2 linked regions of the Drosophila melanogaster genome follow. The protein of the gene in region 2 interacts with the protein of the main gene of each other region in a pairwise test. Each region holds a gene or a part of one and is shown on either strand. Other genes may lie near its edges. The genes, in order: Ugt316A1 and Vamp7.

Region 1 (11,852 bases), on a different chromosome or scaffold from region 2:
AACTTCGCAACTATACAAAAATGAGAATGAGAAATAAAATATATAAAATATATTTATATATACGCAGTGTACGCAGTGTTTGTATCTAACTCCTAAGCCAAGTCAAGAGAATAAATATATTGAAGCCGAAGCGAAAATAAACAATTAAACTGAGAGCAGTTTTCTAGGTATATAGTTTTAGTTTTAGTTTTAAATTTTACTAAACTCGAAATCGTTTATAAATGTAAAGTTTGTTATATTCGGAGCGATTGGCCGCGATAGGCGCTCCCTAATATAAATATACTACCATGCCAAGTCATATAAGTGTAAAGTGAACTAAAATCCCGAATATCGAAGAATTTTTAAAATCGAAAACAAAAGAAAAATGAACACTAAAACAAAGAAAATAAATACAACCATTTGCACAACACAAATAACCACACAAAAAAGAACATTTGCCAAAAGCAAAACATTTTTTATTGTTTTTAGGGGTGATCTAAAATATCGGCATAGACCATATAGCTAAGCAGATTTTAGCAAGGTTTGACAATTGGTCTAGATTATATTAAAAGCCGATTAATCGCATAAAGTTATTTTCTACAAACGACATGTTAAAGTTGGAGGACAGCAAGATGGAAATAAATTAAGTGATTCATTTGTTATGTAATGGATAAAAAAAAATAAAGTTGTATGCGTGTCAGCTGTTTTCCAGTCAGGCAAAGTTGGTACAAAATTTTATCAGGTGACATTTCAAGAAACAAAAAATACGAACCAAACTGCATCTGAATAATGTTTATAGTTTATATGTAAAAGAAACAACAAGAAAATTAAAAACTAAAATAGTCCCAGAAACTTTTTTGGAAAAATAAGGCTGTGCGCGATAAAAAAAAAATCAATATATATATCTAATAACGAGTGTTGAGAATTCGAAGAAAAAGGTTGAAATGCCAGATAGGATTGGTTAGTTGGATTTATAAGATCGTGAACAACTCTCCTTGGCCCAAGGCTAGGATTTGTTTCCAGCCGAAGCTGCTCGACTGATTCGATTTGATAAGGATGGCGAGATGGTGTTGTGTGGTAAGTGAAAGTCAGAATATTCTAAATTTTAAAGCTCAGGAACGAAGGGGTCAGAGATGTTTTGGGAGGTATAGAACCCAAGCTAGCTGGGTATTACAAAATACGCGAGTGCTAAAGTCGCACAACATTCCATAGAAATCATGTCCACTTTAAATAGTTTTTATTGTAAGGCAACCTTAAGTTTCAAATGGGGTCAGGTTTTGATTAGAAAAATCGGCTTTGTTAAAAGCAAACGAATGAGTTTTGATTAGGCAGCTAAATACGGATAAGAAGTTCCTGGTCAAAGGGAAGCTTACTAAGCTAGTTGCTCTAGCCCATAGGATTTTTGCAAAGGAAATGCCTACGATTTTGAACGAGCTTTTCCCAGCTAAGAGCCAAACATCTAGGAAAACTAACTTAAGCATTAATCCAGTTTGAAATGCCAATTTATTGTTGAAAGCCTCAGTCAGTATAAATAACTAAGCATACAGTTAATAAATATTGAAATCGAAGCAAAAAAAAAGGTCCCAGAACCCCGTAAATAATTGTGTGTCGAACGTTTTGCCAGTTAATAATTAAGATAACTAAATTGTATTAAAAAGTGTTTGCTGATTCATGCGACAATTTCCATTTTTAAGGCACAAGGCGATCCACTTTTTACAAGCTAATGCGAAATGGAATCGAAATTTTGCTGCCAGGCAGCGCATTTGTTGTCCATGCCCCCAAAATGGGCGTGGCATGGGCATAACTGCTGAGATTTTTCCCTTTTGGTTTTTGTTAGCGTAAGAAGATACAAACCATTTTACATATTGTACATCTGAGTGTTGAATTTTTCCATAAATATTTAGCACCGAGATAAAGAAATATTCAAGCAACAGTGCCAACAAAAAGTAAAACACCCAAAACTAAATATATAAACTATAAATGATAAACGAAATTGTACCTTGAGAAAGTCCAAGCAAAACTATCTACGGCGGTAGCACTCAATGCGAACCAACCGATCGACAAAAAAAGTCAAACAATAAGAAAGAGTACCCCTCTGTCAACGTTTAAGGACGAATATTCTATAGCTACCTAGTTGTGTTTTGCACATTTTGTAAACTTTACAACACGATGAAGGAAACCGAATATCTAGATAAACGACAGCCCCGCAGCGTTATATATAATGATATATATACTTATACAGGATACAAGAACATAACTAATAAAACCGTTTTTAAAACCCGTGAAACTTGAATACTGTTTTTACACTTTTATTTTAAACAATGAGTGAATTAGTTCTAATACGAAACACAACGAGTTTGGTTTGTTAGTTATTAGTGGCTTGTAAAAGCATTCTCCTGCTCAGCAGCTCAGTTTAGTTAGTTTCAGAATGAAAAATTATCTAAATTGTCAATTATTACAGTTTTAAAATAACGTATAACATGAACACGATTTAGGACATACATATTTGAATATTAATACCCATTATGTGCTAGCCCTGCTAAGGTTCTTATGAGCAAATACATTTTTTTGGATGTGGATGTCACTAGATATGATAACTTATCATACAATTTAACAAATTAGAAAAACCTAGCAGGTCCGAGATTTACATTTTAAAACAGCTGAGATTCCTTTTAGCTTAGCAACTACGACAATTGACACATGACACACGGAACAACTGCAACTGCAAAGTTGCGCAATCTAAAACAGTAAATGCTACATAAAACATGAGACGAGAACGGATACCACTAACACACAATTGTCTTCCCTCAATTCCAGGATTATTGTCGAGCCGATCTTACAGACCCTTGTTGAAGTAGACACGCTTGGGCACTTTGCCCTGAGTTTTCTTCTCGAGGTCCTCGTAAAGTTCGGGCTCGAAGGTGCGCATAATCGAAGTGTCCAAGGAACACTGCTGTGGGAACAGGGCGCAGGCAGTGGGCACCATGAAGCAAAGGCTAAACATCAAAGAATAAAAAGATCAGTTAAAGGAACAAGTGGTCGTAGATGATAAAGTTACTTACAAGCACCCAACCAAAAGGGTCTGGAATGGAGCATTAATCCACTTGATGCGCCTGTAGGCAGGCAGTTTCTCCAGCCTCTCCATTATCAATGGCAGCACCAGCATTCCGGGCGCCGCCATCGCAATCCTGGACACAACCACCTCACCGATTCCTTTGATGGCTGCCAATCTACTCTGGCCCACAACCACTCCATCGTCGTTCTTCACCTCTATGCCATTGATTATCTCATTTTGTCGCATCAGCGGAATGTTCACGAAGTTGGCTGCCGCCACAGCTGCGAAGGGCACAAATCTTTGGAACAGCGGAGTCGCTTTCTTTGACCAATAGTTCTTGCATCCAATAGCAGCTACCAGAGCCGATGTCGTGGCGGATACATAGGCCACGCCCAGCTGCGTAACGCTAGTTGGCGAGTTGGCATTGCGATTCGTGTAGTTAACAACCGCATTGAAGGACTGGTTGATGAACTGCCAGAGCACCACGGCGGGCACGGTGCGATAGAAGGCCAGCATGCCACCGGTGATCAACATGCCTCCGGGTACCTGAAGATAGACCAAATACACAAAGCAATTAGTAAAGCTTAAATATGTAAGCATCGATTTAGATAAGCCCTTAAGGGAACAGGTTCTTTGATGCTAAAACCAACAAAATGCTCGAAGATTTGGCATTCCGAGCAATTGGTCTTGATATCGTCGTGCCTTCCTTGTGTTTTTGGCAACCCATTCACAAGGCGTCCACGCCAGACGCTTCTATTTTCAGCGACCACGTGCCGAACCCATCTCGAGACTTGCCTGAAAACTCATGCGGCCGCAAAAGTTCTGCAGCTCGCCGGTATCCGGATGAAAGGCTGAGTTGTACAGCTTCATGTTGTAGTGCACCTCCTCCGGCTTCAGCGGCGGGGATTGGTCACCTTTCCGGTAGCGTTCAACCATTGCTTTGGCTTCCAGCAGGCGATCGCTGGATACGACTACGGTGCGGGGGTCCGTCATCCAGGCGAAGTACTGGAAGCGCCCAGCGAAGGTGCTGAGATCGAAGAGTGGCTTGTCCACATCGATGAGGGCTAGGGTTAGGGATTGGTTGGGTCAGTGGGCATAGAATGATCGTATCTCTGGGCTCTCTCAAATATCAAATTTATTAAGTACATTATTTTAGATACTGCTACTATTTGAAGATTGTTTAAAATTTGATGAAAGTACATTTATTTTGGCTGCCACGTTATATATTAAAGTGTATTAATTGAAATATTACATACAAGCTCTAGCTGACTTTTAATTTTTAAAATATGTAGTTTACAGAATTTTGAGAATCAAAATGGAAATAATAAAAAATTATGGCTATAGATTTATTAATTCTTAAAACTTTTTTAACAAATGAATAGATTCATTTATACAATAAATTGATATTAGAAAGTGTTGAGTAAATGTCATAATCAGTCTTATGTTTTTGAAAAGCTTTCGAAAAAAAAACACAACAAAACTGATTAGATAATGAAGATGCTGTGAAATGAATATCCTTTTATGTTATTTATTTTCACAAAATATGCATAAGAAATGATTCATCAAAAACTTATTTGCTTTGATTCCTCTATGTGTATGTATTCACTTGAATGCTCAATATATTCGATATTCGTGGGAGCCCATATAAAGTGGTGGTTTTGATTTGATTCTTACTTGATACCTGCGACATTTTGGCTGCTGATCCAATTGCCTAACTGCTTGTAATTTGTAATTGCGAGCGGCTTACGTAAGCAGTAACTTTCAGCTGTTGCCGGTTTATGGCGGCTTGCTTTTGTTATTGTTGTTGTTTTGGCCGCTTGCGCTTTTGGGCAGATTCTCACCTTATGTGTTTGCTTAGGGCCGATTTAACAGCAAATGATTCGTTTTAGCCACGCACCTGATCCGCCAGCTGTTCAATTCACTTTTCTGCCTCGTAATGCGGTTCAAATGTTCACTTTTTATGTCGCTCTCCGTTTTTTTTGGCACTCTTCCAATTGGAAAAAAAGTTGTTTTGTTTGCCGCTCTCTGTTTGTCTTTTTTCGCTCTGAGTTTGTGCATCCACAAGTACTTGCTGTGCTCGCCGCAACCTCTCAATTTAGCACTTCTTTTGTTGTGCAATTTGCCGAATGATTCGCAAACTCAGTCGCGTATAAATGCAATTTTCAAATTGTTTACTGCGATGGTAAGGAAGAAGAAGCAATGTGGCGGGGTGGGGGTGGCTTTGCACAATAGTGGGACCGTGCGTAGATCAGGCGGGAAAAGCCACAGGCAAGCAGTGGAAGGTGCCATGGCTTCAAGCAAGCAGTTCATGTTCGCATAAAAATATGCAGTAATCTCTAGAAATTCAATAATGTAATGTAATGTATAATTCAGTAACTTTATTATTAATCATGTTAAAAGTAAGGTATTCAGAGCACGAGTGTTTTTTCCATGGCACAAGTTTTGTATACTCGCCAACTGCTTGCTATTAAGACACGCTTTAAATTTCAGATGTTAACGCGGCATCGCTAATGCTTCTTTCAGCTGCAAAATAGCTAGATTTGCCGGTCTGAACAGCTAGCCGGACATCTCTGAATGCCATTCGCAGGAGACGACGACAAAGCCGCAGTTGTTGCTGCTGTTCTTTTCACTTTCGTTGCGTTTTGCACTGCATTTTATTTGGCAATTTGTGTGCATTTTTCAACAGCTGTGATATTTTGCCATCGCATCGTGGCGGCAAGATGATGAAAATCGGCGAAAAAAGCGGGAGCAGAAGCAGCAGATAATAATAGAAGCCACGTACTTGTGCGTGTGTGTGCGTTGTGTATGGGCTGAGCGCCAGTGTTTGTGTGTGTTTTTGCAAAAAAAAAAAAAACCGGAAAAGCAGAAACACAGACACGAATGCGGATGCGGATGTAGAAGCGGATGCAAAGGCCACTGCGGATATAATCCACAAACACAAAATGCAAATCCTGCAAGTGTTTCTGGGCACGCTGCTCTGCGGCATCGTCCTGGGCGCCAATGTACTGACAGTTTTTCCCAGTGTCTGGAAATCCCACTATCTCTTTGGCCGGAGATTGCTTCAGGAGCTGGTGGAGAGTTCGGGCAACCACTCCGTAACTCTGATCAGTCCACATGCCGCGCAGGAAGGTGTGGATGCGGAAATACCCAAAATCAGGGAGCTGCGCATCGAAGGGCTGCGGGAAAACTGGCTCGACATGGGCATGAGTTTTGAGGCCGAGGAAATGCGGGCCCAGAGTGTGATGGAAAGGTTCACCCGGCTGATCTACGCTGGCACCACCAATGTGGACATTTTGCTGTCGGATCCCCAGGTCCGGAAGCTCCTGACCAGCGGCGAAAAGTTCGACTTACTCATAGTGGACCTGTTCTTAAGCGATGCTCTGCTAGGGTGAGTCCGAAAGCCAAAAACGGGTTTCCTTGGTATATATTTCAAATGGAAATCTGTTCTCTTTTAGCTTGGCCTTCTACTATGGCATACCCACCGTTGCAGTCAGTCCCACTGGCGCGAATTCCTGGCTGAATAACATGTTTGGCAATCCGCAATCGTCCTCACTGGATCCCAGCAATTTCCTGCCCTTCACGGAGAGAATGAACACGAGGCAGAGGATTCTAAACTCGCTTATGAGCACCTTTGAGCGCTTGACCTACAAGTACGATCTTACTGCAGTATAACTTGTATAATTGTGTAGCATTTCGAGACAAGTTAATCATCAGCAATTTATATTATCAATAGGAAAATAATCTTTCTTTACATTCAGTTTAACAGGATCCGTTTTTTTGTATTTTGCAGCTTTTTCCACTTGATCTCCCAGCAATCCGTGTACACAAATCACTTCGAACTGCTCGTTAAGGAGCTGCCGCTTTATAGAGATCTGACAAAGAATCTCAGTTTGGCCTTGATTAACTCGCATCCAGGCCTACATTATCCCCGTGCATATTTGCCCAACATGGTGGAAGTGGGCGGCCTGCACTTAAGCCACTTAAATGATGACAATTTGCCAAAAGTATGTCTAAATGCATTCATTCATAAATTCAAATCACTTACTTTAATTGTTTTTAGCATCTTCTGTCGTTCATGGAATCGGCTCCCAGTGGGGTTATCTATTTTAGCCTGGGCGCCGATGTGGAAACAGCTCAACTGCCTCAGGAAAAGTTGGCCATTATTCTGGATGTGTTTGGCCACCTCAAGGAGTTTCACTTCTTGCTGAAGTGGGAAAAGGAGGAGTTTACGGCGGAACAGGTGCTGCCAGAGAACGTTATGATTGCTGACTGGTGGCCACAACAGGCCATCCTTCACCATCCGCAGGTCAAGATGTTTATTAGCAGCTGCGGTCAGTTGAGCGTTTGGGAATCGATTAGTGGACAAAAGCCAGTACTTGCCATACCCATTCTAGCCGAACAAGAGGTGATGGCTAAGCGCTTGCAGCGACATGGAGTCTCCGTGACCGTTGGCTACGACTCGTTAGCTTACGATTCGCTGCTCCACGGCATAAGACAGCTCACCCTGAATACCAGCTATGTGGAGAAGTTGGGTCAACTCAAAGAACGACTGATTAGCCGCGATTCCACGCCAGTTGGAAAAGCTGTGCGAAAGATACAGCTTATATTGGAGTCTGGAGGAGCTGACTTTCTTAAGTCGCACGCCAATACCTTAAACTTTTGGAGAGCTGAAGGTGTGGATGTTCTGCTTATAATAGCAGTGGGCTTTTTTGGAATTTTAACCATTCCTTTCCTGGCCATTTGCTTTATACTAAGAAAATCCTACCACAGCCAAGCCGCGCAGGATCAGCCACCATACAGAACCAACCTGAAAGTGGTTGGCAGAGTGCACAGCTATGGTGACCAGGGGAGTAGTAGATCTCCCAAGGGAACAGAGTCGCTCAGAAGAACGCGATCCGCTCAATCTTTATCGGCGCGGTCCAGCTCTTCGAGCATGAGCTCCAATTCACCGACGAGTCCATCGACAGCGTCCACTACGCCACTGGACCTAACTCCCCCACCTCCGATTCAGCTGCTCGGGCAGGTGCCGCCCTTGCAGTTGTACGTGAATCAGCAGCGGATATACTCAAGCGATCGAAAGACATCACAGGAGGAAGCAGAACGCAGGTTCTCATAATGATATATCTCCACACGAAATATATTACTAAACTTACGGTGGATCACATAGAAAGGATGCTCGTCTCGGTTTCACATCCTCATGTTAGGACTAGCAAAACTGTAAGATCGTCTAACAAGCCAGCCGGAGGATGGGAAAGCAGAGCTTAGAGCGGGAAAATAATCATTGGTCAATCTATTACTAGTTTCAACTAGATCTCTTAAAGATCCATTAAAGTTGCACAGTTGCCAACTATAATGCCCTCGATTGTCCACCGAGTACATTCCGCATCTATAATCCGTGTCACAAAATCGATCCACCATGCCTATATAAACCTATACATAAAAATATCGTCTAGTGTTAAGTGTGATTTTTTGTTAATACATGTGGTTTTATATTTCGATAAGTTTTAAAATTTATAAATTGTATATATCTTGAATATTTGTATTGTGTGTAAACGAACGTTCACACTTTGAACATAGGATATTTGTACTGACAAAGTATAACAATAAATTGGGTACTTGAAATTGATTTTATGTTCTGATATTAATGTCGAAAACCCTTTACAGCTATTTCATTCAATTAATATTTCAATTCAAAGACTGACAACACCTTTCGTATGTTTTTAAAAAGACAAAGCTTGATAGAAACACAAGCGCTTAGACTGCAATTGTTCAGCTCAAAAAAGCAACTGAGTATTGATAAAATATCTATGTATGTCCGTTTGTTAATTTCGAGCTGAAATTAAAATTGTTAATGTTTTTATAATAATAAAACATATAATGCGGTCACCTTTTTTACAATGGGAAAACTAGATGCAGTTTTCAATTCGGTTTAGTTGTTCTGAATACTTTAAATTAAGGATATTTTATAATGCCATGTATGAATTGTTGAATAAAATATATAAAATAGCCTATAGAATTGGAATTTCCTATATTTCTTTGAATAGTTGTAAATATTTTCCCAATTTAAATGGCTTAATTATATAGCATCTATCTTTGTTTGCATTCTACTTAAATTCCCATGCCGTGCAAGTTGTATTTCACATTTTGTTTGAACTCTCCTTGAACAAATTCAAAATTCTTTTAGTTGGCATAGAGCAGTTAGCGTTAATTATGGTTTAATATGGCGTCTCGGGGGCAAGGGGCGTGTCTAATTAGTTGACTGCACTGGGCTAATGTCGGCAGGCTTTGATGTGCATGGCGGCGTGTGCACTTCATTTAAGCCGAGTGCGGCTCAAGTGTCTCTGAGGATGCTGCCGCGGATGCGTCTGCGGATCCTCCGCACAGGATGGCAGGATGCCAGTTGTTGCAGCAAAGTCACCTGTTTGCTTTCATCAGTCCACTACACACACACACACACACACACACGTTGACAAAGGGAAAACGAAAGCAGGTGAGTGGAAATTCGTGTGATGCATGTGTGCCTGGTGGGTGGCGCATTTTCACTTGGCTTCCTCCTCCGGCGGCCTGTTAATAAAACTGTATTTTTGCACACATGTCGCGAAAGGTGAGCTACTGAAGAACCCTGGGAGGAAAATGCACGCGGGGTCTGGTTGCCACTCCTGATGCGCATATTTTTGGTTAGACATTGGAAATTTGATATGCAAACCACAAGTGACATGATGGTACACTCGCATGACATGGCCCATCATTCCGAAGAATTAAGATTAATTCTAGAGCTCATCTCCTATAGTCCCATTTAAACTTCCATTGAAATGTGTTTCTATAATATCAATTATCCTTTTTAATTTTGCACGCTTAAATATGTTATCATGCTTCAACTATCAAAGGCAAGGATTCACATTTCAACCCCATCGTGAGCGCTCATCGGATTCCAAGTTCAAGAGCCATCAATGGCGGTCAACTTCAACTCTGTTTCGCTGTCAGCTTTATAACCCGACAGTCCTATTTGGTGTTCCATCACAGCCACACTTGTCACACAGGGGCCAAAGACTGGGAAAGATGTGGCGGAATGGGGAATCGGGATCAACTGGAGTGGAGGCCATCGGCTCGACCGCCAGTCGCGAATGTCAACCGCAAGAAGAGCGGCCGAGTCAAGTGAAGACTTCTCGAATTGACAGGCGGCCAGTGGAGTCGGCCGCAGCACGAACACATGAAAAGGGGGTTGTGCACTGTCAGAAAATAAGGTATCATTTGACTAGAATTGAGTTTTTAACTTATTACATTACTTGGCTTCCAAGCCACCGCATTCGTAGAGTAAAAGGAAGCGTTTTCGCTACAGAAAATTCTTAATTAAAGATTCGATCTGGTCATGTCCGTTTGTCCGTCCGTCTGTCCGTCCATCTGTCCGTATGAGTCCTGGAAACTATAAATCTATTTATAGCATGAATATCGCTACAGGCAATTTCTCTCACCCGCTTTTCATTTGTCGAAAAAGAAAATAAAGCACGGCTTTCAGAAGTTTTTAGGTGCTACAATTTTTAATTATAATGATAACAATGTGATTGATTTTGTAAGAAATTATTCTTTTTCGTAATTTTTAGTTCATAAAAAATATATCAAAATTCTGCACTTTAGAAAACTCCTCATTGCTCGTTTTCGATTTTTTTCGATTGAATGTACAAAACGTTGTTTCCAGTGCACCGCAAGAATTTGACATTCCGAGGTCTCGGGTTACGGCCATGGGAACAGAAAGAGTTCGAATTGGTTTTGGCCGTCACTGGGGCTTCCCCCGAGCGCATCTCCGTCTCCCATTAGCACTGCTGTCAGGGGTCCCATGGGGATTGGGACTGGGGTTCGGAATCGGGATCGGGATCGGGGAGGCACGGCATCAAAGGCCCCCATTGACGGAGCTGCCGAGTTGTTGTCATCATCTGTCCACGGGCGGCTCCTTTCAGCTCCTTTGAAGTGGGGCTGCAAAATTAATTGCATGCTACACAAATCCCTCCTCGGCCCATCTGGCAAACTAAAAACTAAAAACTCTAAATCAACAATCATCATAACTATAACTTCGTACGGAGCCAAAGGAATGGGCGCAGGAAAAGGGGGAATGTGGGGAGCATATGTGCTGTCAACATGCTGCCAGTTGCTTTGCTCGCTTCATTTCCCTTACCTCCCCCCTCCCCCCCCCCCGAACATGGTATTTTCAACACTTTTGTTGGGAACACACTTGACTCTTGCCACGGCAAATCCCACGCAATACACACTGAACATACATATACAAACAACATTTGATGCGTGGAATCGGAATAATAAATAATTCTACTAATACTTAGATTGCTTCTCAACTCTATATAGATATTATTATATGTTGATATATATAAAAATTATTATTTTCTTTCGAGCATATTCTGTATGTTTATGACATTTATTTGTTAATTTATTTATTTCTATAGTTCACAAAGTATCTTTCAGTGCAGCTCCATCATGGACATGTGCCCTGTCCCCCGCATTGCCCCTCACATGGAGTTTCCGGCTTTTGTGTGCATTTTGCACTCTGTTTCAATTTAATTACTTTGGAGTTTCGGAGTTACGCAACGAGAACATGACAAACTTTGGGAGGTTGTAAAAAGGAGCAGTGGCCGAGTGATTTAGTTGTCCTCAATGTCGACCGCTGCACTCTTCAATTTAACATTTATAATTCACAAATTAAATGAAATGTGAGTGAAATCCTCAACTGAAATCCTCGGCAAAGGATAACAAGAGTCGTGTTCCTGATTTCGTTTACCAAAATTTGCATTTATCGATTGGGGGAGTCGGC
Region 2 (11,736 bases):
GTTCATCTGGGAGCAAAATCGTTCGCTGAGCAAGATATTAACAAATTCCCGACAATGCGAGGGAATGGCCACTTTCCTATTTGCCATTTCAACCGAATTCTTTGAATCTTCTCGCATTCAGGGTGTGAATTGAGTCGCTGAGATAAAACCCGGGGCCATAACAGAGCGTTTGCCTTAGAAATTCGATTTGGAGCTGCGTGAGTTGGGTGCGTCTATCACTCGGCGGATCAAATCAGATTCCCAGCCCCCCCACCTGAACCTTTTTCGGATCTACCTTCGAACATAGGGCCCTGTGGAGCGAATTGTGGTTGCAGACAAACTCGGTCAGCACTGTGTGAACTGGAAACTAGTACAATTGCAATCTGTTTACATCTCTTGGGAACATCTCTTATGCTGCGGACTGACTTGGCCAAGAGCTACGGCGCAGCGGGCACATACAAATCAGTCGAAAGGAAGCCAAGGCGGCGCGGCAATCTTATCAAAGACATTGCCAAAATAGGGCTGATAAGCGGGCCAGCATAATCCGAGGCGATAAGGCTGCAATGGCGACTGGGCAACTGGGAACTTGGGTACTTGGGAGCTGGCCACTTGGAGTATTATCCAATCCCATTGTGATTAGCGGCCCTAGAGAGCGCGAAAAGAAAGTGAAATCGGCTGCCATGAACGAAAAAAAAAAAAAATAAAACCATAAGTCGGAGCCCGAGTTCAAGGCACCTCAATGGATCTGCGGCGGAGAGTGTTTTGCCGCCTGGCCGCATAATTAGTTGTAAATATTTTCATACACATTTTATGGGATTTATGGTTATGAGGAGGCGATGGTTATGCCGTGAAAGCAGGGGCACGTCGGGGAATGAGTTCCCTCGATTAGGAGGGCCCGTATATATAAAATGTGTGTGTACATATTGTAGAACGTGTTTCAGATGCGCGACAATTCGTTATAGATGGCCAATTTAGCGGCCAGCGGCCACAAATGTCAAAGTCACGAACGTCGGGCGTAAGCGGCTTTGTTTTTTTTTTTTTTTTTTGTAGGGGGCCAACGCGGCGTATGAGCGATCATAAGGCGCTCAGACGATATTTACACGTTTGCAGGTTTCTCGGTTTTACTCGCAAATATGATGGCATTACGCTCTATTATTTTGGCACACACTCACAAGCTGGAATGTCGGGAGATATGGACGCACCTATAATTGGAGGCTAACTGTCCGCTGCGTTACCGTAAAACGCCAAAACGTAACTGAATACTGAAACCTGAACGAGCAACTTCGAACGCCTGGAGTAGTCGCAACATCGTCGTCGCTCGTCGGCGGTTATCGCTCTGCTCGTGCGCATGTAGCTGGCACACATATAGCATATAGTTAGTTATATGGCTGGCAAAATAAATATGAATTCCGAGTGCCAGATATTTACCTGGAGAGCTTAATAGCCGTGGCCCAGAGCGAATTGCCCTGCAGGCGCCCTACGTGAAAGGTGCGCGCCATAACATGCCCCCACGGAATAGCACCATCCGGAAAACGAAGGTGATGTGTGTACATTACTTAATTGCTGGCCGATTATGCACCATCTGAACTGGACTAACTGGAGTATTTGGGCGCCCCAAAAGTGGACACTTCCGACGTGCGAAATGGAAGAAAATCCAATCCACCGAAGTGGCATTAATTGCGCCCGTGAATATTTACGTAGTTTACACGTGCTGCGAGCGCATGATCTGCTCTGATCGTGAATGCGGTAAGAGCCCGGTTATCTGTTTATTTGCTCGGCAAACGGCAACAACTTGGAGTTGACTCACTGTTTTGTTTATTTGCTCAGCCCAATGGGTCAGCTTTGCGGGACAATTGCTTTAGCCAGACCTATTTACCTTATTTACTCGGTTGTTCAATAAGTAGAAGATTACTTTACGACAGCGGCTATTACGGCTTATTTATAGAAAAGTTATTATTCGTCCCCAATAACAAGCGATTTTCAACTGGCTTTCGAACTGAATATTAACGAAAGGTATAGGAATTAATTATTATTATTATTATTTGAGTATTTAAGCTGATATTATATATTATCATATCTTAAAATATAGCATCCAATTGGTTACTTCATACTCTGTTATAAAGAGAAACTTACTATTTTCAAGTTGCTTTCAAAAAAGAATATAAAGTTCACTGTCATCAAAACTAACATCAATATTGTATAAAATTGATTTAATTGGTTAAACCTATTTATCAAGTCTTGTCGGATTCTTAAAGTATGCTATTTTTACAATTGTAATTGTCACGAGCAATTTTTGACAATTGTCCTCATAAACTAGATAGTAAATGTTAATGATTTAAAAAATAGGAATAAATGACGTAAATTTATAAATTTGAAAGCACTTATCTCAAGTTGACTTTCCGTGGTTTTCCAAAGACTATTCTCAAGTACGTCAGTAAAGATAAAAGTCATTAGGTAGGGGATTTTCAATACAGTAAAGCTTCTATTGGGTATTTCCCTCATGATACAGAGAGTATTTTTAAAATAAAACAATCACACAAGTGTATTTACTGCAATTGAAACCCGATCTTTGATTTTGAACATATTCGGGGCTTCCTATATTAGAGGTCGCATAAACATAATCACTAGAGTTCCCCGAATGATATCAACACACGAAGCCATATCGGCGTGATAACTACGTCCGACGCCGAAACTTTATGACCTGGTGCTATTTGATTATTTCGCCGATAGAGGGAGCAAAGTGTATTTGCCATTTACACGATTACGATTCTGTGGATGTGGGTGTGGGTGTGGATGTGGATGCCCTAATGCGAGGGCTTCCGCACGAAGGCGACCGACCCATTTCCCCCCGGTGGCCGTGAAAATCTCGGGGGAGTGGCAGCGGGATGTGGCCGAGTGGATTCGAATCCGAGCCGAACCAAACCACACCGAACCGAAGCGAGTGGAGGGGGAAAAGCTGTTTAACCTGTGCGCGCGGGGAGTGGCCTGGCCCCAAAACGGAATGAATGCCCCATATACATGCTGCCCGGTCATCAGAAGCCTGGAAAACTGGTAACTCGGCACAGAGAAAAAATCCAGCAGATATAGGTCATCGATTTGGAAGTTATCCACAAAAATCTCAGAGGCTCAAATCATGTTCGCGTCTTTAAAATGCGCCACTTAGTGGTTCTAACAGTTGGAGAATCGCGTTTATGTAACTAGAATATTAAGTAAGCAAATAAACGAATAAAATACTTCAGTATTACAAGTGCACGTTATCCAATTTATCCGACTTTATCATTAAGAGATCGTAATGTTTTAGAACATGGAATAATTAGAATGTCGAGTAAAATTAATGTAGTTTAATTCGAACTGATATGTATATTTTGATAGCTCCTTCTGTGTCGACCTGTTTTTACCATCTAGCAAAGGAATCCAGTTTTTGGCCAATTAATCGATGTGCTAATTTACTGGGAGATCAGAATGCAGAGCTGCAGAACAGAACTCCATAGAAGTCGCCATATCTCCACTGCCAGCTGCGCAGGCGGTGTTTGCACATCGTTACAATTACAATTAGCCCGTCGAGTGCTTTACTTTAATGATCTATTTGCGAGCGCGGTTGAATAACACGCTAATTGACAGCCAACACAAACGAACGTGCACTTGAGCCGGAGTCGCAGTCCAAGTGGGAATCCGATGGGGGATTCGCAACCTTGACAAAGAAAATTTCTAATTAACGGCGCTTGCCAATTTGCGTACACTGCGCGAAAAAGGAAACAGCGACACGCACAAAAGCGGCGCACGCAGTTCGTTAAAAACTTATTCATTTCTAGCAATTAAGCCATAATGGCGATAGTTAACAAATTGGGTCGCTGGCGCTCCGAGCAAAGAACCCAAATTCTGGCCACTGCGTGATCTGCGAGTGGCTAATCGCAAATGGCAAAAATGGCAAATAATGTGGACGAAAGAAAACACATTGATTGGCTTGATTATGCACAATAAACCGGAGTCGGTGACTTTTGTCAGCTTTCCATTCGCTTATGGTAAATTGCTGGGCGCTACTGCCAATTAAAATAGAAATTGTTGACCAGCCGAAAAGTCTGTCGTCGTTTGCTTTGCATAAAAAATTAAATCTTCAACACACAAACGAAACATACGAATTGTTATTGCTGTTGCTTTTTTTGCTGCTGCTGTTGTTGCTGCTTCTGCTGCACGCGGTGTAAAACTTTCGAATCCGCTGGCTTTGTATCGTATGGGATCGGATCGGATCGTATCGTATCGGATTGGATCGGATGGGATCGGAAACGTTTGGATAGAGCAAAAACGCTCTGCACAGGCGCGTAACGTGTTTTCGACTGAGCTCGGGATCGCGACTGCGCCAACAGCAGTTCCGAAAGCAGCAGCGACGCTCCAAGCAGCAACAGTCCCAGTTTTAATGAATGAAAGCGCAAGTTTTTACCGCTTTGTCAGGCCAACAATATGCACTTTTTGTGCGTAAGGCAACAAAGCCCGTCCTTTGAGTTCACACACAAAAGAAGAGCAAAACAAAGCGAAAACAAAAATTGCTTTTTGGCCGAGTGTCGTCTGCCATTTGAATTCGAATAAGACGTGCAACTACCTATCGATAAGTCTATGGCCCAAGTCGAATTTTCCAACACTTGCGCTTGTAAATGAGAATACTTATCGGAAAACAAATCGTACCTGAAAACGATACTTAGTTCATAAAATGTGTAGTTTTCGGAATAAATTGCATGCAGATTCTAAGGACATGATACCAAAACACTCAAATAAGAAGCATTATGTAGAAAGTGCACGCGTATACATGAGAAGTGACTCCTCAATTTTAATCAAATGCTGCCTTTGTAATGTGGACACTTTTGGCGGTGACAAATGGAAGGAATTCATGAAGCACCTGGTTCAAAGGCATGGAAACGAAAGTGGATTTAATGCAGATGAGGATGAGATCCAGGACGAGGTTCAGGTGGAGATGACCAATCTCTTGGCGGCGTCTATTGCTCAGGAATCCAAGTTGGCGGAGGTACAGGAATCTTTCAAAAATGTAGAATTTATGGAAGAGGAGGTGGAACCAAACTTTTCACCAGAGAAAGAGCAGGGCCATGATGAGCTCGCAAGCAATAGCCACCATGTAAGCAGCCTTGGTTATTAATGACACTTGCTTGACTTCGATTCTTTGATTTCCACAGGACTACATCTCGAACCAACCCCACAAAGCCTTCTACAGCCTGCAGCGCACCAGCCCCGGAGTTATTCAGTACTTCATACAGCAACTGCGGAGACACAAATTCTTCTGGATAACTGAGCACGGGATCAATAAAAAAGATCGCATGGATAGTTCCCAAAAAGTGGCAGAGGCCCTGTTCCATCGATTTCACTTCCAGTTGGACCCAAAGGTGGTCAATGCCAGTGCCCGTTTCCTGCAAGTCTGGTTTGAGCGACAGTATGTAATGCAGTTGAGCAGCTCCGACTTCCGCTGTCGCTATCCAAAGTACTACCACAGTTTGCTGAAATTCATGCCCACGAACCACATATCAGTGACCATTTGCGAGGAGTGCGACCGACGGTTTCTTAACGAGCGCCTGCTACGGCTGCACAAATTCCGCGTCCATGGGGGACCCAATCCGAATGTTTGTCATGTGTGCCACCAGAGCTTTCCACTCGCCTCCAAGCTAGAACAACACCAGGCACGGTACCACTTTAAGCGGCCGGAGTGGCAATGCAGCAGATGCGATTACAATGCACCTTCCAAGTGGGACTTCCAACAGCACCAGGCCATGCACGCGGGGCAAAGGAACTATATCTGCGAGCTGTGCGGGCACAGCTCGAAGACCAGCTCCGCCCTGGCCGTTCATCGGCGAACTCACGACCAACCGAAACTATGTTGTCCGCACTGCAGCCGGCAATTTCGAGAGAATAGCACCTTGAAGAGTCACATCCGGAAAATTCACGACGGTAACAGTGCGCGGCAGGTCTCCTGCGACTTTTGCTGGCGGAGATTCAAGACGCTGGAGTTGCTGAAGCTTCATAAACTGGTTCACCTCCAAAGCGAAGAAATGGAATCATATGAGGACGATGATCCAGAGGAATTGAACAGATTCGTTAGTTAAGTACGTTTCGAAAAATATAAAATAGTAGTTTAAATTTCTTTAAAAGTAAAACGATTTCAAACCTTAAATGGAAATATATCATATAACTTAATTTGTATACATTGTAGCGTAACTTAATTATATATATCAATAATTTACATATATTCTTAGCTACTTTAATAGAGACTGCTGTAGTTTTTTAAGTAGAACCCTACGCGATTTTTATCTGAGGTGACTTTTAATAAGCTATACACTATTTTGTTGGTATTAAACTAACTAGAACCACATTCTCGCCGCGTATTAAAATCTGTGGGAGCTCTCGCCGAATCTCCACGTTTTTTCGGTTTAGATTTTTGACTACAGTCCTGGGAAGAGTGATACCCAACTCCTTGAGGCGGCCTGTGCAATCAACAGGTGTGTCGCATATGTTTTGCTCTCCGTAATTGTACTTTCGTCGCTTCCAGGTTTCGGTAACATTCCTCAGTAGGAGGTTCCACTGCTTGTCAAAGGCCAACAGTTCACCCTCGACACTGCCGCCCACCGATCCGTGTTTGCGAATCACCACCCGAACTCTTCTCCTTTCGTTGGATTCATTGTGGCTAGCAGGGGATATACACTTCGTTAGGAGTTCCAATGGACCGACAGCTGCCTCCATGTAGGTGAAAATATTTCGATGATGCTTCTTTCTGCTACTAGTGGTAGGCATCTGGTGCGGCTCAAAACGTCGCTCAGGAGGTAGAATATCTACAGCCTCGGAAGTGGAAGCCTTTTTCGATGTCCCCTGATCTCCTCCTTCTGCGGATCCCGGCTTTTGGCGCTTGTTCAGCTGCCAGATGCCGAATTTTTTAAGTGCACTCTCGAAGGCAGCCAGATTCTGGTAGATGACCTTTGGAACAGCATCGGTCACCCTAAAATTGGGTTCGTATAACGCTCGCAGAGGATTAAACCTATCACTGCCCACATCCAATTCGGAGATTTCCGACGAGTCGTCCTCATTCGAAGTTTTCCGGTCCCTCGATTCCATGACACTGATTCCCGAAGTCTGCCGATAGAAGTCTGATAGAACAAAGAACCTTAAATTTTTTTCTTTTTCCGCTTAAAAGGCAACAGGCTTCTTGCAATTGTTATGTAAACAAAGGAGCACGAATTCGCCGGCTGCATGCCCGATAACAGTTATCGATTAACCTGGAGGGAGCGGGGATGGTAATTTAAAAATAAATGTATTAAGTCTACCCTATCACTGAAAAATAGCACTAAGAACCAGGTTACATTCCTTATCATCAGTTGCTACTGTCAAAATGACCGCTGATATACATAGATGCATGTGTTGTCCAGCCTTGGTAAGAGATCTTCATCAAAGGAGAGCTTTTTGTCCAATAAACCTAATCAGTGGAGCTTTTGACTCAGAGAAAGCAACAAGTGTTACAGCGCAAAGGAGATGGCAAGTGAGTGAAAAACCGGGATTAGCTGGGAGATCCTTAAGTAACGTGGATTATCCTGCAGCCGGCGGAAATAACTCGACCTTTGACCTCAGTCCCAAGACCCTGGCGGCCGTGGGCGTGGGCCTGGTGGCGGTGGGCGGGGCTAGCTTCCTACTGTACCGCCATCTGACCCGCGATGTGGTTCCCCAAAAGTGGCGACGCGTGGGCACCGTGGAGAGGATACACTTTTTTCCGGTCAAGTCCTGTGCCCCTATGGACATCTCGAAGCCCGGAGTGGAGTACGACTGCGATGTACTGAGCATGTCCTTTGAGGGAATAAGGGATCGCACCTTGATGGTGGTCAATGAAAAGAACGAAATGATCACGGCTCGGGTGTATCCGCTTATGACCCAGATCAAGTCGAAGAAGGTGTCGCCCAGCAAGCTTGTGTTCAGCGCCCAGGACATGCCAGACCTGGAGCTGGACTTCGAGAAGCTGGACGGTCCTGGCAAGGATGTGAAAACTTCCGTTTGGGGCGTTTCCATAGACGTGATGCCCTGCGGAGATCGGATCAACACGTGGTTCTCCCAGGCCATCCTGAAGAAGGAGAGCGGCCTCAAGCTAGTTCACTATCCCTATCCGAAACCAGTGAGATGCACCAATCCCCGCCTAAAGTCCATGCCATTCATTAGACAGGAGGACTCGGTATGTTCCTGATGCGCAATTCGAAGTGTTAGGACCCAGATCACCCTTGATTTGAATTCTTTCCATAGGGCACTTTTAACGATGCCACCAGCTTTATGCTGATGAACCTTTCGTCGGTCGCCGATCTTAATACTCGGTTAAAGAATCCGGTGGATGCACTGCAGTTCCGAGGTAACTTCGAACTGAAAATGGATGTTGATGAGCCCTATGCCGAGGACAATTGGCAGTGGGTGCGTATAGGCGAAGATGCTGTTTTCCGTACGGTGGCGCCATGCACTCGCTGTATTTTTACCAACATTAATGCGAAGACCGCAGAGAGGAGTTCCGAAGGAGAGCCTCTCAAAACGCTCAGAAGGTGAGTCACTACCCATGGAAATATCTGAGAAGTACGACTTACAAAACCCGACCCTCATATCTGGAATCCACAGCTATCGCTTGTTCAACTACAGTTCGCCGGCTCTGGGCGTTCATATGGGACTTCGGCTGCCGGGAAAGGTGAAGGCCAACGACGTCGTGTATGTGGAGGACAAGTGAATATTCCATTATCTCTTCTAACACTTTATCCGGTATACATTGAAGTTTATTACATAGAACATAGATGAGAGTACTGTAGAGTTTTATATGCAAATATACATGTGTTATGAGCCTATAACAATATAAACAACTTTAAAGCTTGTCCTAAACACAGGACTGCCAAGCGAGGCCACCACAGGCCATGCTCACAATCACGTAAACGATGAAGGTTATCACCAGACCCACCACCACGTAGACGCGGATGTTCTTCCAAAACATTTGACGAGCCAAATTTCGGGAGGCCTTACGGAATGCAACGGACTGTAAGAGAGATCAAATGAAAAACACATTTAAAAGTCTCTGCTTGGCATCACCTTACATTATTGCTCAAGTTTTCGGTCTTGTTGACGAGCAGCTCTAGTTTCTCGCCGCGATCCCGCAAGCTGTCTGCAAATGGGATGAAAAGGGAATAGTAAACAAAAAGAACATACGGATTTTCCTTCCTTCATACCAATATTCTTAACCATAATGTCTTTAAGCTCGTCAATCTGACCATGTACTCGCGAAATGGTGTCCACCTCCCGGGACTGACTGAAATAGACCATCTGCTGGGCCAGGATCTTGGAGAACTCGGTGTTCATGGAGTAGGCGATGGCGGTGGCCACCTGTAGGCCGTAAGTCTGGATAAACTTCTGCTTGATATCCGCCAAGAAGAGGAAGGCCCGCGACCGTTCGAACTCCTACAAAGAAACGATACGTTATCGATTGGGCAATAAGCAACTGAGGTGGCTAATTGGGCCAGTGGTTCGTTCACCCACGTTGTCGGTGATGCACATGTAGACCAGTTTGTTCTCGCAGGTGTAGTGGATCAGGTAGTCTCCGTGTGTGTAGGTCATCTTGTGGTTATGCACCCCGATCCGTCCGATTATGTGCTCCGTCACTTCGGCAAAGTTGCCGACGCACTCCGCAAACTTCGCCAGCACTGTGGTGCCCCGCGATATCACACTATATAGTATCGGCATGGTGCCACAGATTCTCCTTTGCTAAGGGCGCGGTTGTTCAGCTCCTCAGGCTACTGCTTTGTTTTGCTTATCGGGGAATGAGCCGACGATCCGTCAATGATGACGTGCTCTCGGATTCTGAGAAATGTACATATCGATTTAGAAACTACTACTATCCAATTGCGAGCCTATCAATCTGAACAATAACTCTGTTTATGAGTAACATACGTATATATGTGTAATATGCAAATTGTTATATCAAAGTACTTGCTTTGTTTATCCAATTAGATCCGCCTCGAGTTGATAGCGCAACTGCAGATTTACATTTTGTGGTAAGCGGCTTAAGTTATTATCGATTTTCAATTGCTTTTGCCGAACACAATAAAAACATCACAATACCGTGGAATTAGCTCGATTTTTGCATTACAAATAACAACAATTGCTGACGCTTCGATGCAGTTATAAAATTAGAGGTGGAAGGACGGTACATCGACGCATCGATATTTAATGGAGCCGATAAGTCTGGCTTTATCGCACGGTCACACTGCATAACGTGTTTTACAAATTATGTTATACGGTCTTATGATTATTTGCATTTGCTTATTAAATTAAATGATCTCCGCAACTTAAATAGGGGCATCCCACCGATAGCGTTTCAGTATTGACGAGAGCATCAGTTCATCCAGTTGAGATTCTTCTCCCCGGACAAAGAATTTTCCATTAAAGTAAATTTAAATTAATAGCGTTCCCAAGCTTTTGCTCCTGAGATCTTTGAGCCTGGATCCATTCGTTTTGACAGAAAAAACCGCAGGTAATAACTTAAACTATGTACACACGCAAGATACAATATACGTAGTTTCAATATGCGCATATGCTGCCGAAATATTCGATTTAAAATTACTTATTTTAAAAGACTTAGAATTCTCATTTATTCTGGCCACAAATATGGCACGATTGCACTTTTTTGAGCCTTTTACAGGATAAGGTTTCTATAGAATTTAATATTAGAACACAATAAGCATGCTTAAATAAGATCATTTATCAAATCTTATAATTCGTTTAGGGTGTAGCTATCAGTATTTAAGTTGCAGAGTAAGAGCGTAATGGTTAACCATTGTTGATGGTTAATTAACCACCAATTGGTTAACCATTGTTAATGTTTAATTATCTTTGTTATTTTTTATTATTTTGATCTTGATTAAGAATATATATACTTTACATGGCCGGGAACGCTTCCTTCTACCTGTTACTTACTTTTCAACGAATCTAGTATACCCTCTTACCAAAGACACTAGAATAACAATATGCGTTTTTGGGAGGAGTCTAGAGCTGGCTCCGGCTCTCACGAATATTTGTTCCAGAGGGCGGAGAGCTTTACAGTCAGCAGATTTCATGTCTGTATATGTATCTGATAGTCGGAACCGGACATTGTTACCTAAAGTTTTATTTCGAATACAAATTGATTAACGAATCTTTGAGGCTATATTGATAAAATCTTATCTGATACCTGATAAACAAACACAAAAGTAAATAATAATAAAAAGATATAACAATGTAGTTCCTTCATTGCTTCCGTCATACATAAATATGTGCATTTGTATGTGCACGCAATGTAATTAATATTTAGGAGCCCAAATTCAGTTATGTATACCTATGCAAGCCCAATAAACAAATTTATATATAATTTAACGGCATTTGAAATTCCAGCGAAGTTTTCGCGAGATCTCCAAATCGATCTGGCAACCCTTGAGACGTACATATGTATGCAGACGAAATGGCAATCGCTAGCAACGTTGTCGAAGCGGGGAACGCGGTTCGCGCGGAAAAAGGCAGAAAATATTTTTATTTTCGAAAGATGATAGGAGATTATATTGGTGAGTGATGACCGATGGACGCCATAAATTATCTTTACGGTCGTGATTCGTTGCAGACACCTCTATTCGCATTGTAGCCACCGTGTTCTTGGCTGATCTGCTCCTTCGCTTGTACCGCTGTGTCGTCGAATATGGGAGCAATGGGCGGTACTATTTGCCC

The links.
Region 1: the proteins of Vamp7 (region 2) and Ugt316A1 interact in a two-hybrid assay, tested with the Drosophila melanogaster proteins (2 studies listed by BioGRID).

The regions. Positions count from the first base shown.
Region 1 is NT_037436.4:19,056,573-19,068,424, reverse strand, and holds Ugt316A1 (UDP-glycosyltransferase family 316 member A1), read left to right. Parts: upstream 1-5,608; 5' UTR 5,609-5,976; coding exon 5,977-6,422; intron 6,423-6,489; coding exon 6,490-6,684; intron 6,685-6,824; coding exon 6,825-7,038; intron 7,039-7,094; coding exon 7,095-8,150; 3' UTR 8,151-9,025; downstream 9,026-11,852. Other genes in the region: Sfxn2 (sideroflexin 2), read right to left, coding at 2,816-2,975, 3,042-3,580, 3,830-4,098, 4,709-4,724.
Region 2 is NT_033778.4:9,832,328-9,844,063, forward strand, and holds Vamp7 (Vesicle-associated membrane protein 7), read right to left. Parts: upstream 10,176-11,736; 5' UTR 9,974-10,175; intron 9,899-9,973; exon of another isoform or gene 9,841-9,898; 5' UTR 9,724-9,840; coding exon 9,520-9,723; intron 9,442-9,519; coding exon 9,213-9,441; intron 9,149-9,212; coding exon 9,081-9,148; intron 9,023-9,080; coding exon 8,867-9,022; 3' UTR 8,753-8,866; downstream 1-8,752. Other genes in the region: CG1663 (uncharacterized protein), read left to right, coding at 4,862-5,104, 5,163-6,083; Lsm11, read right to left, coding at 6,316-7,086; Marc (mitochondrial amidoxime reducing component), read left to right, coding at 7,501-7,507, 7,566-8,188, 8,257-8,543, 8,617-8,722; sting, read left to right, coding at 11,477-11,576, 11,633-11,736.